Saccharomyces cerevisiae S288C: one gene and its partners. The gene in region 1 interacts genetically with each later gene. Each region holds a gene or a part of one and is shown in the gene's direction. Other genes may lie near its edges.

Region 1 (8,930 bases):
GGCTTCTTCGGGAAATTGCTCCTGCATGAATTTGTAGAATTTGAACCTATCCTCTTGCGGTATCGAATACCACTGTTTTGGGGCACCGAAATGAATATAATTTATGGAATACAGGTCCTGATCTTCCAAGTGCCAAGAAAAAGAAGCCTTCCATAGACCAGCGTATAGATAGGAGTCATTCACCCCAGGAACCTTTGTTTCCATATGGTCCAAGATGTTCGGTAGTTTGGCAACATTCCAAACGTTCAGCCCTTCAGGAAAGATTGATCCTGGTGTATCTGCGCCGTACATAGGCGTAGTAAAATTTAGCGTTTTCCAATAATACTCTTCCAAGAACTTTAATCTCTCCGTATTTTGGAAGTCAGATAAATCTATTGTATACTCCGTCCTGAACTGTTCAAAATCATCAATATTAAAAGACGATTCAAAATTTTTCAGTTTCAACTTCGTGGATTTGGAAACGGAGCCTTTCCTAGAATTACGTCTTGCTTTAGGATCCTCCGGAGGCACATAGTCCTTAGAAAGATCTTTCCACTGTATAATGTTATAGGTCTTGTTTTTCTCCACGTTCTGCACCATAAAAAGACCTTTATTACCAGAAATATGCTGCTGAATAGGTGATTTAATCTTGATCTTTTGGAGCGTTTCCGCAGAATAAGGCAGATCTAATTTGTCTTTCCATTCTTTAGGTGGGATTACTTTCACAACACCACTTTTCATGCCATATTTGTTTATGGCCTTGCAGTATGCATAGAAATCTTCGAATTGCTCGTATGTGGGTTTGAAGACGGGCACTCCGCCCACGATTTCTGAAGGAGCGATTAGTTTCGTCATGATTTCACGCAACTGAATATCCTCACCAAGACAGTCTTATTCTTTTTTTCCCTTTTTTTTATCTGTTTATTTTTCTCCAGCAGATCTATAAAATAAGTGGTACTAATAGAAAGGTTAAGTCCCCCTATTTTAAAATAATGCTGATAGAATGATTAAATTGGCCGCTTGATGAAAACCGCAAGTAGCTACTTCAGGGACAAGCAACGCCTTCGATGCGAATATATGTTTTGCTGATAACGATCTATGTACAGCGTCTGCAATTCTCTTAAAATTATCGCCTTGCCATTGTTACTTAAGGAGTCTATGTGATTAATTGCATGGCGATGAGGTTACCCTTGAAAAATATAGAAAAGATTTTTCCGAATAAAAAGAAAGTAAAACTAAAAAAAAAAAAAAAATGGAAAAAGAAAAAGAAACGTTTAGGGGAGAGGAGGGCTGCGGTTAAGGCTTATGGGGTGTATGGGCGGGGGAAATAGGGCATACTTTCTCGATTCACCAAACCCTTAGGTCATCTGATTTTTAGGGTTGTGTTCTTGTCGTTACTCAGCCCTAAAAAACATTCGTTAGGGTTGAAAAGTTGAAAAATGAATCGCAAAAATCTACCATATTAACAATGTACTAAAGGAAACTACATAATACATCGCAACGCTTCCCTCGAGATTAATTCGTATCCGTGGGTTATAAGGGCTTTTTTTGTGTATGCTACGGTCTACTATATCTCTACTGATGAATAGTGCTGCTCAGAAAACGATGACGAATTCTAATTTTGTTCTAAATGCACCCAAAATCACCTTAACCAAAGTGGAACAGAACATCTGTAACTTGCTGAACGATTATACAGACTTGTACAATCAAAAGTACCACAATAAGCCTGAGCCATTGACTCTTCGGATCACGGGCGGATGGGTGCGTGACAAGCTTCTGGGACAAGGTTCTCACGACTTGGATATTGCCATCAATGTGATGTCAGGTGAGCAATTTGCTACTGGTTTGAACGAGTATTTGCAACAACATTACGCCAAATATGGAGCCAAGCCTCATAATATCCACAAGATTGACAAGAATCCCGAGAAATCCAAGCATCTGGAAACTGCCACTACTAAGCTCTTTGGCGTTGAAGTGGATTTTGTCAATTTAAGATCTGAAAAGTATACTGAACTTTCCAGGATACCTAAAGTGTGCTTTGGCACACCCGAGGAAGACGCTTTAAGAAGGGATGCTACATTGAACGCTCTTTTCTATAACATTCATAAAGGTGAAGTGGAAGATTTCACCAAGAGAGGTCTGCAAGATCTAAAAGATGGCGTTCTCCGTACTCCGCTTCCTGCAAAACAAACATTTTTGGATGATCCCTTGAGGGTTTTGAGGTTGATCCGTTTTGCTTCTAGATTCAACTTTACCATAGATCCGGAAGTGATGGCTGAAATGGGCGATCCTCAGATTAATGTTGCATTCAATTCAAAAATTTCTAGAGAGCGAGTTGGTGTGGAGATGGAGAAAATATTAGTAGGACCAACCCCTTTATTGGCTTTGCAGCTGATTCAAAGGGCTCATCTTGAAAATGTTATCTTTTTTTGGCATAATGATAGCTCCGTCGTAAAATTCAACGAAGAGAATTGTCAAGATATGGACAAAATTAATCATGTATACAATGATAACATACTAAACTCACACTTGAAAAGTTTTATTGAATTATATCCAATGTTTTTAGAGAAGCTTCCTATCTTAAGGGAAAAAATTGGTCGTTCGCCAGGATTTCAGCAAAATTTTATATTGAGTGCGATCCTGTCCCCCATGGCTAATTTACAAATAATCGGGAACCCAAAGAAGAAAATTAACAACCTGGTTTCGGTGACAGAAAGCATTGTGAAGGAAGGATTGAAGCTGAGTAAAAATGATGCAGCAGTTATTGCCAAGACCGTAGATTCAATATGTTCATATGAGGAAATACTTGCTAAGTTTGCAGATCGTTCCCAGCTAAAAAAATCCGAAATCGGTATATTTCTACGGAACTTTAATGGCGAATGGGAAACAGCACATTTTGCATCTCTATCAGATGCATTTTTAAAGATTCCCAAGCTTGAAACTAAAAAAATTGAATTACTTTTCCAAAATTACAATGAATTTTATTCTTACATATTTGACAATAATTTGAATAATTGTCATGAACTAAAACCAATAGTGGACGGAAAACAAATGGCAAAACTACTTCAAATGAAGCCAGGTCCATGGCTGGGTAAAATTAATAACGAAGCGATTAGGTGGCAGTTTGATAATCCTACAGGGACTGATCAAGAATTAATAACTCATTTAAAAGCCATACTACCAAAATACCTGTAGTAGCTTATTAGTATACATAAGACATGTAGAACAAGAATGCATAAATAACTTTCTGTTACCTTATTGAAAAGAAAAAAATAAAAAAAATGAAAACGAAAATGAAATAATATCTCTAGTAGTTATTCTATGGTGTATGATAACTAAACATATTTATTAGTTTTTATATACTCTATTCAAAATTTTTTACCAGTTTTTAACTTTTTCGAAAGATATCTGTTACTATTTTTGAACTTTTTTTTTTTTTTTTCATTCCTTTTTTAGTTGCTATTATCAAAATAAAAAGACTGTAAATTATTATCAATGTCGTTATTTGCAATTGGTGCTGCATTTTGATTATTTGAGTTTTCCACAGATGAGTTCGCCTGATACTGTGGAACGAAAGTATGACCATCGTAAAAATTTCTTTCACTGTTGTTTGAAACGTTTGAGCCCATCAGGTCGCCTAATGAAACAGTTGCTGAAGTATCCGGAGATATATTTCCAATGTATGTATCCGCAGACTTGGGTTCATTCATGTTGATGGCGCTGTTGCTGTTGTTATTGCTGTGGCCCATCTCACCTAGTAGCTTCGATTGCTCATGGAAAAACGACTCTGGGTTTTCAAAATCGAACTCGGTATACACTTGCAAATTAGTCTTTGTTGTATCAACATTGTTTGGTGTTGAGCCACTGTAAGAAACGCGATTTCCGGTATTATTATTGGATTCTGATCGAGAAGCGTGTTTCCATTGAGATCTAATAAAATGATCGAGGTTTGCATCACTCAATCCCAATCCCGTATTTACCAATGTATACTTATCTTGATCTTGAAAGTAGTTTCCGGTCGCGTTGCTTGTTGTAGTGGATATTGAGTTCGTCATAACAGAATCTACGATGCTGCTACTAGTTGTACTACCGTGTGGCATCAAAGAGTTAAAATCTAAACTGTCATCCTTTCTGTGAGTATCCATCCCCATAATATCCCTTCTTTGGAAGTGTGCCGTATTCGGAATATCTTGTACTAGGACATCCTCTTCTTCATTTTCTTCTAACGTGGATCTAGGTATACCTTTTAGTGCCGGTATATTCTCCATTGGAGTATTGAAAGCAGAGAATTCCCCACTAGCGTCGTTTTCGTTACTGTATTCTTTGTCAAATGAGGAAAAATTGCTAGATGGGCGATAACTTGTAACAGTACTGGTACTTGGAACAAAGTTCATATTGTGTGTTTCAAGCACATTTGGAGTTGAAGAAGCAGATGCAGAACTTGGTAATGTGTAACCTGTCATGTAGTAAGGAGGAGTCACCAGAGAAGATGAAGGTGTTGTAATGTACGAATTAGAATGTTGAATTCTTTGAGCATCAGAGATAGATTCTTGTTTCTTCCTATGCCCTCCTTTGACACTGCCACTTTTATGCTGTGGTTGGCCATCCAAGAATATTTCGTTAACTGGGGTTGTACTATCCATTTCTGGTAGATCAGTGACGCTTGGTAAAGAATTAAGGTCTCTGGATAATCTATAAAGGGAAGACCCACGAGTTGCGGATCTTGCTCTTCCTGGCGATGCAACTCTTATTGGTGAATAACGATTTGACATGGATGATAATGAGCCAACTGAAGTGGTTCGCTGAGTTGGCAATTTATTAACTTTTATATTTGATTGCTGAATAGTTTGTGCAATAGTGGGTGAGGCTAGCGAACACGTGGACCCGCCAGTGTTGGCTCGTTTTCTAGTAAACATCTTACTAAATGCAATAGAAGCGTCATTTTCTTCCGGTAATTTAACTTTACTTTGTGAGTCTCCGCAGTTGAAAGATCTTGAAGTTCTTGGTGAATCAGGTGAATGCTTTGCAAAGTGGGGTGTACTTAAATCGGAGTTCAGACTTAAAGAGGATTTATTGTTACTGTAGTTTTGATCTTTGAAGTTGAATGATTCGGTAGAATGATATAGCCCACTTTCCTGTGACTTTTGTCGGTCTGAACTCTGAGGCGCCACTTTATTGTACTTCAATCTTGTATTTTTTGTGTTCATGAGAGGTATACTTGATAAGTTGGGAGTAGAATTTGTTTCGCTTTCAGTGAACCTTGATGGCGGTTTTGCTAGTGAAGGATCATGAGTTGATTTCGGAACGACTTCTTTCTCGGAACAAAAATCGTTATTGTCAATAGGCAGATCAGTAGTGTTACCCATCATGTTTAATGATGGAAAGGACAAGTTTCCAGAGAACGGAGTTTTACCGTTTAGCCTATTGTGTTTTAAGAACGAGTTATAAGATCTTTTGGTTGTTAGTGACGAGGCGTCGATTCCGCTTTCTGAGATAGGGGTTCCCGAAAGGGGTTTAGATTCTGAATCCATTTGAAGCACCATTGGTTGCTCTTCAACGATGTCCTCTATGTGTTCGTTCTTTGACGATCCAAATATCTTCAGCATTCTCCTTTTGGAGGATTTCTTCTTTAATTTCGCCTTTGGTGCTGGCACAGAAACCGGCTGGGTTTGCAAGTCAGTATCATTTTCGTTAGCCGTGTCCTGTACAGTATAATTGACGAAGACCATTTCACCTGATTTCTTTCTACTACTCTTCTTCGCCTTAGTATGGTTGTCTCTGGGATCCTCTAGCAAAACTTTTTTCGGGCTAGACATAACATTCATAGTAGGTAATACTGGAGTGCTACATGAGCCTGTTGAGGAGTTCCTGTCCGGCGAAGCTTGTGTGCTGCCGCTAGCGGATCTGCGATAATAGTGCGGAATTTTCCATTTATTCGTAGATTCCGTAGAACGACTCTTTGTGGAATTAACCGAACTGGAACGATGGTGGTGACTATTCTTCGGCATGTGCTATTGGTTTTGAGCGATAAATCAAGACTGCCTTGCTTCTTGTCTTAGATCTCCTTCTGAGCTTTCTTAAAAGACTTCCCTAAATGGCTGATCTGATTGTTTCCTTTATTAACAACAAATCCACTGAAAAAAAAGTCAATAATTTGATGGATATTAGCGAATGTTAACCGGAAATAGGAGTGAAAGACGTGTATTACAAAACTATGACTATGCCTGATTAATATCCTGAATAACTAGGCATGAACCTTTTTTCACGCAAATAATAACAATAGGCCTAGGATTTCTATGATATAATAAACTTTCTGTTAGTATAAAAAACTATTTTTGATAAATATAGTCTCTCACCTAGTCAAAAACATACGTATCACGGCTTGATTAATTCTTAACTCTACTTTACAACATTTCAAAAATTCCTTTGATCATGACCTTAATCAATTTTTTTGCCAGTTAGTGGAGAGTTCCCAGCGCTGGAAAGTGCTGGCGTCAGTTTTCCATCGGAAGAAAAAATTAGCCCACCATTGTGCGTCCTTGAATAATAGCGATCCGGGTTAACCGGGAGTGTTAATTATAGAACAAAGAAACCCACACGTCCGCTACTAAAACTTGCTAAAAGAAAGAGTTAACGCTGTAGTATGCATGAATTCCAAGGCTTCTAAGGCTTCTAAGGCTTCTAAGGCTTATCCAGTAATATTATGTAATATTATATATACAGTGAAAAGCGGAGTTCCATCAGCTATGGTTCGGATATCATTATTAATTGTTCTGTTGTGTTCCGATTAAGGAGGCTGCGTTAGTTACGCCTGGTAGATCTAGAGATGTTCTCGCTCTTTCCACAGAGTAGCGGTTATCTAGTTGGTTAGTGGCGATCATCTGTTCTCTTGTGCGGTCCAAGGATGACCTGACGTTGGTTGATGGGCCTCTTCCGAACGTTTGGGCCTGCTGAAATTGGGGCGATTGAAGAAGATCTTGTGTTTCCTTGGGTGAAGTCATCCAGGTTTCTTGCTTCTGATATCCGCTAGGACTTCCATCTTCACCGTGCATGAAAGTCATTGGAATCTCCTCTGTGACAACACTATCCCTTGAATAGTTCGATCCTCCTAAGTTGTCGGAAAGTGCTATGCCTTCTATAATCTTCTCTCCGTGTTGCCCAGCTTTTGTGACCTTGGGTCTGTTGGGATCTGTTGGATCGTAACCAGGAGGATAATGATCGAAATGGCCATGTTGCCACATCTCTCTTACTATTTCCACATCAGTTGGGTAGAAAAATTTTTGAAAACTGTCATATGTGAAACGGGGCAGTAAGCAGAACAGCACGGCAACAAAGAAAACAGCCCAAAATGAAGGTGCTCCATAGATACGCGCTGCAGCTTTGAAAAATTCTCTACTAGCTATCGCAGAAGACCATATTCCCGTCCATGCAAAAACTACGAGGCAAGACAGTGCAATGAATAATCCACTAAACCAATCCCATCTATATTGGTGTAATAAAACATATGTGTTACACGAAATTACAGCAATAGTGGTCACATAAACACCGACAAAATAACGATGATCCAATCCTAACCCATTGCTCGTAACTATCATATTTTTGTGATAAACCAAGTAAGGGAAAAAAAAACAGATAATAGACTGATATAATCCGTCCAACATATACCATAAGAACTTTCTTTGGTTCCATTCTTTCCTTAAAATTCCAACACGGTATAACTGAGGGACCACTAATGATATTGTGTCATTCACGTCCTGGTCCAGAATACCTAAGAAGATGACTGGTAGGGATGTAAATGCCAAATTATAGAACATCATGTATGTGTATTCATACAGGTAAGACCCATCAAAATCATTATAGATACCATACCAGAACAATGCCAAAGCAAAAATCATGTTTTTGTAAAAAAACTCAGGAATCATTTCTGCCAGTCTCTTATAAGACCACCTACCGTGAACGAGGACCAATCTAGCCAAATATCTGAATTGTCCAATGGCGTAGTCTGAGCACATAACAGCTTGTCGACCTTCTTCACCGGCAATACCAATACCAACATCCGCAGATTGAATCATGGCGACGTCGTTGGAACCATCGCCGATGGCTAGTGTCATGACATCTAGAGAATCCTTGACTAACTTAACAACGGCTGCTTTTTGAGATGGAGATACTCTACAGCATAAGACAGCTCTACAATTCTTGCAGAGTAAAAGAAACTTTCTTCTTATATCTTCACCATATAGCGCCAATTTCAAAGCATCACCATCGATAACGATGGCGTAATTACCCTTCGGAAATTCGTGATCCTTTTTAGCTTCAAAAATCTCTTCTTCTGAACCGGTTAAGTTGAAATACTCCTTCAAGTATTTGGAGAGTAAAGCATCCACAATTTCACTTGGTTCTGATCCGAATTCTTTCACGTCATCACCAGTTGTTTTAATAACTAACAATTCCATTTCATTATTCAAAAGGTTGCAAGAAAATCCAATGTTTATAGCTGTTTCAACTTTATCACCCGTAAGAACCCATAATTTAATTCCTGCCTCTGCAAGCAACTCTATACAATCCGGAACACCATCTTGTAAACGATCTTCGATAGCTGTACCGCCCAATAATATCAATTCGCGTTCAATGGAATCTGCAACAACTTCTAATTCATCCTCTCTGTTTGCTAATGATGCAGCAGCAATATCGTACTTTTCGTTCCATTTTTCGTATTCAGACCAACTTAACTCCCTTTGAGCTATGCATAACGTTCTTAAACCTTCAGTAGCGTACTGCTCTAAATGCAAAGCAGTTTTTTCCAAAATAGCTTCACTATTGCTACCACTCTGGCGACTTAATCTTGAGTATATAATGGAATCTGCACCTTTACAAATTAAAAGTGCTCTAGGCTCGTCCCCTGGGTTCAGACCCGGAATTTTGACAATACAGGACATTCTTTTTCTCGATGA
Region 2 (4,455 bases), on another chromosome or scaffold:
GTCTAGGATTGTGCTTGTGCATTTCTTCTACGACATCTTGAGTGAATGCGCCTGCTTGTGTGGAGCAGCCAACCAAACACGTTGGTTTGACGTTCTCCACCACATCATGTAAAGAGCGGGTGTTGATACCAGCCCATTCCGCATCACTCTTAGCGTATACGTGTTGGGCGGGAGTGGAGTTAGCCTCGTAAGATTGTAGAATTAACCCACGTCTGTCCATCAAGAAGATTTTCTTGCGCGCTTCTTCCTTGTCAACGCCGTGCGTGACCATATGATTCACAATTTGATCTGCGATACCGAGGCCCGCAGACCCGGCACCGTAAATAAGCACTCTGGTGTCTTTCAAGTCTCTGTTGGTATGTTTCAAAGCAGCAATCAACGAGGCCATCACGACGGCACCGGTGCCCTGAATGTCATCGTTGAATGATGGCAATTCGTACCTGTACTTTTCTAGTAATCTTCTAGCGTTCTTAACACCGAAATCTTCGAAATGCAGAACGGCGCTTGGATACACTTTCTTAACGGCCTTGATGAATTTTTCCAAGAAGTCGTCATATTGCTTACCCCTGATTCTGGAGAACTTGTTACCCATGTACAATTCGTCACGGGCTAGTTTCTTGTTGTTAGTACCGACGTCCAAACACACAGGTAGCACACGGCCGGGATGAATACCACCGCACAGCGTCATCAATGCCAATTTGGAGATAGCAATACGTACACCACCGATACCTTGGTCACCAATTCCCAGAATACCTTCCGAATCCGACACAACGATGTAGTCTACATCTTTGTCTCCACCGTATGTAGCCAATCTACATTCGATGGAATCAGGTTCGGTAATGTCTAAAAACACACCTTCTGGCTTTCTGAACCTGTGGGAATAGGCAGCAATAGCATCACCTTCGGTTGGGGTGTAAATGATAGGAACTAATTCCTTGATATGTCTCCTTATTAATGCAAAATATAGGACTTTGTTCTGTACTCTCAAAGACGTCATGAAGTCGTTTTTGGCCAAGGGCGTCTTCAAATAGCATAACTGCTTGTAGCTTCTTTCCAGTTGTTCGTCCAAAGTGTTCACTTGTGGTGGTAGCAATGCTTCTAAATTAAACGCTTCCCTTTCTTCTTGTGTAAATGCAGAACCCTTGTTAAATAAAGGAGAGTTTAAAAGTTGAAAGCTCTCCAAGGGACATTCTATGGCACCTTCTACAGTCAAACGAGTGGCATGTGGGTGAGGAGCTTCGAAGATCTTTCTGGCGCGAGAACCGACGGGTGTTTTAGTGACCTCCTCGTCGCTGTATGGCTTTTGGAAAGTATTTTCTCTTGTTGTGGTAGCTTTATGCGATCTAGTGTTAGAAGAATATAAACGCGATTGCTGAATAGGCCATCTTCTTAATGGTGCTGTCCTTGATGCTGTCAAGGATCTGGTTAGTTGCGATCTAGCAGCAACGGAAACGGATAGTCTGGTTCTAAGCATAACCGTATTTCTACCTTTTGTCTTGGTATTTATGTGCACTAAACTCGTTAAAAGTTGTAGGTTTCAAAAGCACAAATATCCGAAGCTGGACACAATATACGAGTAAGTATAAAGATACGCATATATATATATATATAATATGTCAATCATGCCGGTAACGGGTACGACTTCGAAACTCTATAGCGCTAAAGCTGTAGACCAAAGGAAGTCAAATGGAGCATACGCGGTACAGTAATAGGAAATTGCGAAAATTTTTCACCATAGAAAGGCGATGATGAGTCGAAGCCAAGGGGACTCAGTCACTCAGTCAGCTGATGCGATGCGATGTTAGCGCAAACAATAACGCGTACGATAATAAAACTTCAAATGCGCCAATTCTTTTTTTTTTTTTTTTTTTTTTTTGATTTCTTTTCATATATCCGATTTAAACCGCCTAGGGAAGAGTAAAAACCCGAATTGTTCCGTCTATACTTGGTTGTATGGGTGTTTTTTCTTCGATGCTTTTCGTATAAGAAGATATGCAGTGAATATCTTTCAATCGCCTTGAACGGTTGACAAGACGCAAGAATTTGAAAAACCTTGCAATGCACGATGCAATATTCAATTTGCACACATCGAAACGAATTGGTATCGAAAATAAACGCGAAACATATGAGAAATTTTTCTAACTTTTCTTCCTTCGTTAAGAGTGATCCTTGCACTGTGATGAATCGCTATAATTGTTGTAATGATTGACACTGGGTGAAGGGCAAAGGATGTCCAAATGATAAAAAAACAAAAAAATTTGGAAGTGTAAATTGTACCATGGGCGAATTTCAGGTTACTATTGTAGTCTGGTGAGTTAATACGTAATAATACTTGGTTTTTTTTTTTGGTTTTTTACTAAGCGTTACCGTGTGTAGTGATTATCTAAGCGGTTCTTGCAAGATTAGGAAAAAAGCTAATTAAGTGTAAACTTGGCAGCATGATTGCTCGTCCTAATCGAGCCAAAGATAGAAAACTACTGGAAGCAGCTGCTGCAGTGAGTAGAGTATGGATAGACCTATAGATGATATTGTGAAAAATCTTTTAAAGTTCGTCGTTAGGGGGTTTTATGGTGGCTCCTTTGTACTGGTACTCGATGCTATACTATTTCACTCGGTCCTAGCTGAAGATGACTTGAAACAATTGTTGAGCATAAATAAGACGGAACTGGGGCCGCTAATTGCTAGACTAAGATCAGACAGGTTAATATCCATACACAAACAAAGAGAATACCCTCCAAACTCAAAAAGTGTGGAAAGAGTTTACTACTATGTAAAATATCCTCATGCTATTGACGCAATCAAATGGAAGGTCCATCAAGTCGTACAAAGATTGAAGGATGACTTGGACAAAAATTCAGAACCTAATGGTTACATGTGTCCGATTTGTTTGACCAAGTACACACAATTGGAAGCTGTACAATTATTGAATTTTGATAGGACAGAATTTTTATGTTCCCTATGTGATGAACCGTTGGTGGAAGATGATTCTGGTAAAAAAAACAAAGAGAAGCAAGATAAATTAAATAGGTTAATGGACCAAATTCAGCCAATCATTGATTCTTTGAAAAAGATTGATGATTCAAGAATTGAGGAGAATACTTTCGAAATTGCATTGGCTCGCTTGATACCACCTCAAAATCAATCACATGCAGCATACACGTACAATCCAAAGAAAGGCAGCACCATGTTCAGACCGGGAGATTCTGCTCCATTGCCAAATCTTATGGGTACTGCTCTTGGTAACGACAGTAGTAGACGTGCCGGTGCTAACTCTCAAGCCACATTACACATCAACATTACCACGGCAAGTGATGAAGTGGCTCAAAGGGAATTGCAAGAGAGACAGGCTGAAGAGAAAAGAAAACAAAACGCTGTCCCTGAATGGCATAAACAGAGTACCATCGGTAAAACTGCTCTTGGTAGACTGGATAATGAAGAGGAGTTCGATCCTGTAGTTACTGCATCTGCCATGGATTCTATAAATCCTGATAATGAACCTGCACAGGAAACATCCTATCAAAATAACAGAACTCTGACCGAGCAAGAAATGGAAGAAAGAGAGAATGAAAAGACGTTGAATGATTACTACGCTGCTTTGGCTAAAAAGCAAGCAAAGCTCAATAAAGAAGAAGAGGAGGAGGAAGAAGAAGAAGAGGATGAGGAAGAAGAAGAGGAAGAAGAGATGGAAGATGTTATGGATGATAACGATGAAACTGCTAGAGAAAATGCATTGGAAGATGAATTTGAAGACGTAACGGATACAGCTGGCACCGCAAAGACAGAATCAAACACCTCCAACGACGTAAAACAAGAATCGATTAATGATAAGACTGAAGACGCTGTAAATGCTACTGCCACTGCTTCAGGTCCGAGTGCAAACGCTAAACCAAATGATGGTGATGATGATGATGATGATGATGATGATGAGATGGACATTGAGTTTGAGGACGTTTGATATGGTCCGTTTTTTTTAAATCTTACCAACTAGCTCTTACAATGTAGAACCAACTTTTCCTTTCTTCATTTTCTTCTCTATTGTATCAAGCTTCTCTTAAAATCTAAAAAAAATGAGAGAAAAAAAAAAGAATACGTCTGGAAAAAATCACATGAAAAAATTTCAGAAAAAGAAAGCGGAGCTACTAGACATATGGCATCTTTATAGTAATAATAAAAACATTACTAGTGAGAATATTGAGGTGTAAAAAATATTTTTTCGAGCATATTTAGTTTATATATATTTAATAAAGAACCTCAACTTATAGAAGGCACAGAAGGATTGCTTTATCATTCAACCAAAGTACAAAAATAATATGGTAGAGAAGGATACATGGAAACTGATAACTGCCACTGCACTATTCACTGTGGCAGTGACGACGATTACAGATTATGCTTGGACCAGTTGGCAAGCACAAAAGCAAGTAATTGCGCAACAAAAAAATAAGAATAAAGGTGGGC
Region 3 (3,398 bases), on another chromosome or scaffold:
GCTCATCAGATATGAAAATTTGGTCAAAGGTTAAGTCGTACCAAACAGACCCCTGGGGAGCAACATTTGATTTGGACGCCAACTTCAAAAAGCTTCTTCTACAATTCGGGTATCTTGTTATGTTTTCTACAATTTGGCCACTAGCTCCATTTATCTGTTTGATAGTCAATTTGATTGTTTACCAAGTCGATTTGAGGAAAGCTGTGCTTTATAGTAAACCTGAGTATTTTCCATTTCCAATCTACGATAAGCCATCCTCTGTGTCTAATACCCAAAAACTGACGGTTGGTCTATGGAACTCTGTCTTAGTTATGTTCTCCATCTTAGGTTGTGTTATCACTGCTACTTTGACCTATATGTACCAGAGCTGTAATATACCAGGTGTCGGCGCTCATACTTCCATCCATACGAATAAAGCTTGGTACCTAGCAAATCCAATAAACCACTCGTGGATAAATATTGTACTATATGCTGTTTTTATTGAGCATGTTAGTGTTGCTATTTTCTTCCTTTTCTCTAGTATTTTGAAATCTTCCCATGATGACGTTGCAAATGGCATTGTGCCAAAGCATGTAGTTAACGTGCAAAACCCACCAAAACAAGAAGTCTTTGAAAAAATTCCCTCCCCTGAATTTAATTCGAATAACGAAAAAGAACTAGTTCAAAGAAAAGGGTCTGCGAATGAGAAGTTGCACCAAGAACTCGGTGAGAAACAGCCTGCCTCTTCTGCCAATGGATATGAGGCACATGCTGCCACTCATGCCAACAATGATCCGTCTTCTTTATCCTCAGCCTCCTCGCCTTCATTATCTTCTTCTTCTTCTAGCAGCAAAACCGGTGTAGTCAAAGCTGTTGATAACGATACAGCCGGATCTGCTGGTAAAAAGCCATTGGCCACAGAAAGTACTGAAAAAAGAAATTCTTTGGTGAAGGTGCCTACCGTTGGCTCATATGGTGTTGCGGGCGCCACTTTACCAGAAACAATTCCAACATCTAAAAATTACTACTTAAGGTTTGATGAGGACGGTAAATCCATTAGGGATGCGAAATCCAGTGCAGAATCTTCCAACGCCACCAATAACAACACCTTAGGCACGGAAAGTAAGCTTTTGCCAGATGGTGACGCCGTTGATGCACTAAGTAGAAAAATTGATCAAATACCCAAAATTGCTGTTACTGGTGGCGAAAATAACGAAAATACCCAGGCCAAAGACGATGCTGCCACTAAGACTCCACTCATTAAAGATGCAAATATTAAGCCTGTTGTCAACGCAGCTGTTAACGATAACCAATCGAAGGTTTCAGTGGCTACTGAACAAACAAAAAAGACTGAAGTAAGCACGAAAAATGGCCCATCAAGATCTATTTCCACGAAGGAAACTAAGGATTCTGCGAGACCATCTAATAACAATACTACTACTACTACTACTACAGATGCTACTCAGCCCCACCATCATCATCACCACCACCGCCATCGTGATGCTGGAGTGAAGAATGTCACGAACAATTCTAAGACAACCGAATCCTCTTCCTCTTCATCGGCGGCAAAGGAAAAACCAAAACATAAAAAGGGGCTATTGCATAAGCTGAAAAAGAAGCTTTAAAAAAAAGCTAGGACGATAACAAATTTTATTTTTATAATATGGTGACATTAAATTAATATGTATTCTTCTTTCTATCAAGTGTATGTTTTATGTATCTCTAATTTTAAAAGAATAATTCATTTTACCTTGTGCAGTGTTTTCATCAAACAGAAATCTCAAGATTTAGTTTCTACGCATGCATTGCCTCTTTCTTCTTCGTTCGAGAGGAGTCACAGCTAGGATTCATTACGTATGTTAGTCACACGATTATATCCAGGGGGGTAGAACATACCGACCATAACTTTTTTGCCGTTTTTCTATTAACCGCGGCTTCTATCAGGAAACCCTTTTTCAGCAAATTAAAAGAGAGCGAGGCTAAAACTCTCTGGTGGCAGTGAAAGATTCTAGGCCGGGTCCAGTTTCTAGGGGTAAAATAGAGCGCAAAAGATCTCGGTGCAGATCTAAGGCGGAAGAAAAGGAAATGTGATCCGATTTTTTATGGAAGCAAATAGAAAAACAGGATCAAACGCTTTTGTGGGCGGGAGATGTTATTATGTAACGGGGCTTTTATTAGCATGTGAAATGCTTTGTAGAAGGGCATCCCTGGAGCCCTTTTGGGCCTTACAGTACATGTTCAAGATTGGCCGACTATTAGCAGAACTACAACTAGGGTTGCAGTGGGAAGTATGAACGATAGGGGTAAGTCTAAATGTGATATAGTTACAGCTAATAATATCTTCTTGCTTAGTTTTGTTGAATATATGTTGCTTCTGAAGTACGTGCAGTTACGTCAGTGCGCGCATACATGTTATCCATATTCCTTTTTCCTCTTTTTGACCCGCACTTCATTTCGCGGTTTTTTTTCTTGTTTTGGTTTGCCCCCATTAATTATCTGATCTGGGCTTTTTCTGGCAATAAGTAGTTATCACCGGATCATCTCATTATTATAAAAGGGACAAAGGACTTGCGGCTCCAGTTTGTATAAGGGAAAGCGGCGCACTCTTCATTCGATAGGGGCTCAAGTTACCAACTACAATAAATTACATTATACTATAACATGTCATCTGCTCTATACAAACAAAGCACAAATTTTACTCATTCTACCGGTTCTTTCTTGCAAAGCGCACCTGTTGAACTGACGACAGTCAGTGGGTACCAGGAGTTTTTGAAGAAGCAAGAGAAAAAGAACTATGAAATTCAAACAGTTTTAAGCGAGGATAAATCACATGGTTATGTGCTAAAGGACGGCGAAGTCATCGCTAATATCATTGGTGAGGCCAAAGATTATCTTTTGGATTTGGCCGGCCAGGCTTGAACGAGTGGCTAAATATTTGTTCGATACGAGTCACTTCATGCACACTTTGATTTGCACTCTTATTGCTGGGCTGTAGTTTTCTTTTCCGTTTTCGCTTATAAATCTAACATGTTCTATTAGGGGAAAGAAAGGCGCAAATTGTAGAGTTTGTTAGGTCTTTTAAGTACTTGATTTCACCAACCGAAAGTGAAAGAAATAAAAAAAGATAAAGCTATTATTATTACCATGACCCTGTCATTGGTTTAAAACGTTTGTCCGTCTGCTTTTGATGTTTTTAAAAAAAATTTAAATAAATATTCTAAATAAGTGAATTACAGGCTGGTAGATAGTTCGTATACGTATAAGTTTTTCATTTAATTAATTTCGTCTCTATACCTGGACGCATTGTAGTTGAGTTTTCTAGAGATTTGGAGGTGTCTTAAAGCATCCGAACTGGGAGGTCTCGCAAATCAGAGGTCTTGGTCAAAAGTGCAAAATTCTTTAAAGGACGAATACTGAAA

Evidence for each region. A genetic interaction does not mean that the proteins touch.
Region 2: mutations in CCA1 (region 1) and TFA1 together harm fitness more than expected from each alone (negative genetic interaction), as found in Saccharomyces cerevisiae (one large-scale study listed by BioGRID).
Region 3: mutations in CCA1 (region 1) and YBR085C-A together harm fitness more than expected from each alone (negative genetic interaction), as found in Saccharomyces cerevisiae (one large-scale study listed by BioGRID).

Annotation. Positions count from the first base shown.
Region 1 is NC_001137.3:515,273-524,202, reverse strand, and holds CCA1 (tRNA adenylyltransferase), read left to right. Parts: upstream 1-1,533; coding exon 1,534-3,174; downstream 3,175-8,930. Other genes in the region: RPH1 (Rph1p), read right to left, coding at 1-834; BCK2 (Bck2p), read right to left, coding at 3,432-5,987; aminophospholipid-translocating P4-type ATPase DNF1, read right to left, coding at 6,744-8,930. UniProt on the Saccharomyces cerevisiae protein: Nucleotidyltransferase that catalyzes the addition and repair of the essential 3'-terminal CCA sequence in tRNAs, which is necessary for the attachment of amino acids to the 3' terminus of tRNA molecules, using CTP and ATP as substrates. tRNA 3'-terminal CCA addition is required both for tRNA processing and repair.
Region 2 is NC_001143.9:383,252-387,706, forward strand, and holds TFA1 (transcription factor TFIIE subunit TFA1), read left to right. Parts: upstream 1-2,506; coding exon 2,507-3,955; downstream 3,956-4,455. Other genes in the region: MAE1 (malate dehydrogenase (oxaloacetate-decarboxylating)), read right to left, coding at 1-1,474; TCD2 (tRNA threonylcarbamoyladenosine dehydratase), read left to right, coding at 4,311-4,455. UniProt on the Saccharomyces cerevisiae protein: Recruits TFIIH to the initiation complex and stimulates the RNA polymerase II C-terminal domain kinase and DNA-dependent ATPase activities of TFIIH. Both TFIIH and TFIIE are required for promoter clearance by RNA polymerase.
Region 3 is NC_001134.8:418,407-421,804, reverse strand, and holds YBR085C-A (uncharacterized protein), read left to right. Parts: upstream 1-2,640; coding exon 2,641-2,898; downstream 2,899-3,398. Other genes in the region: IST2 (Ist2p), read left to right, coding at 1-1,604.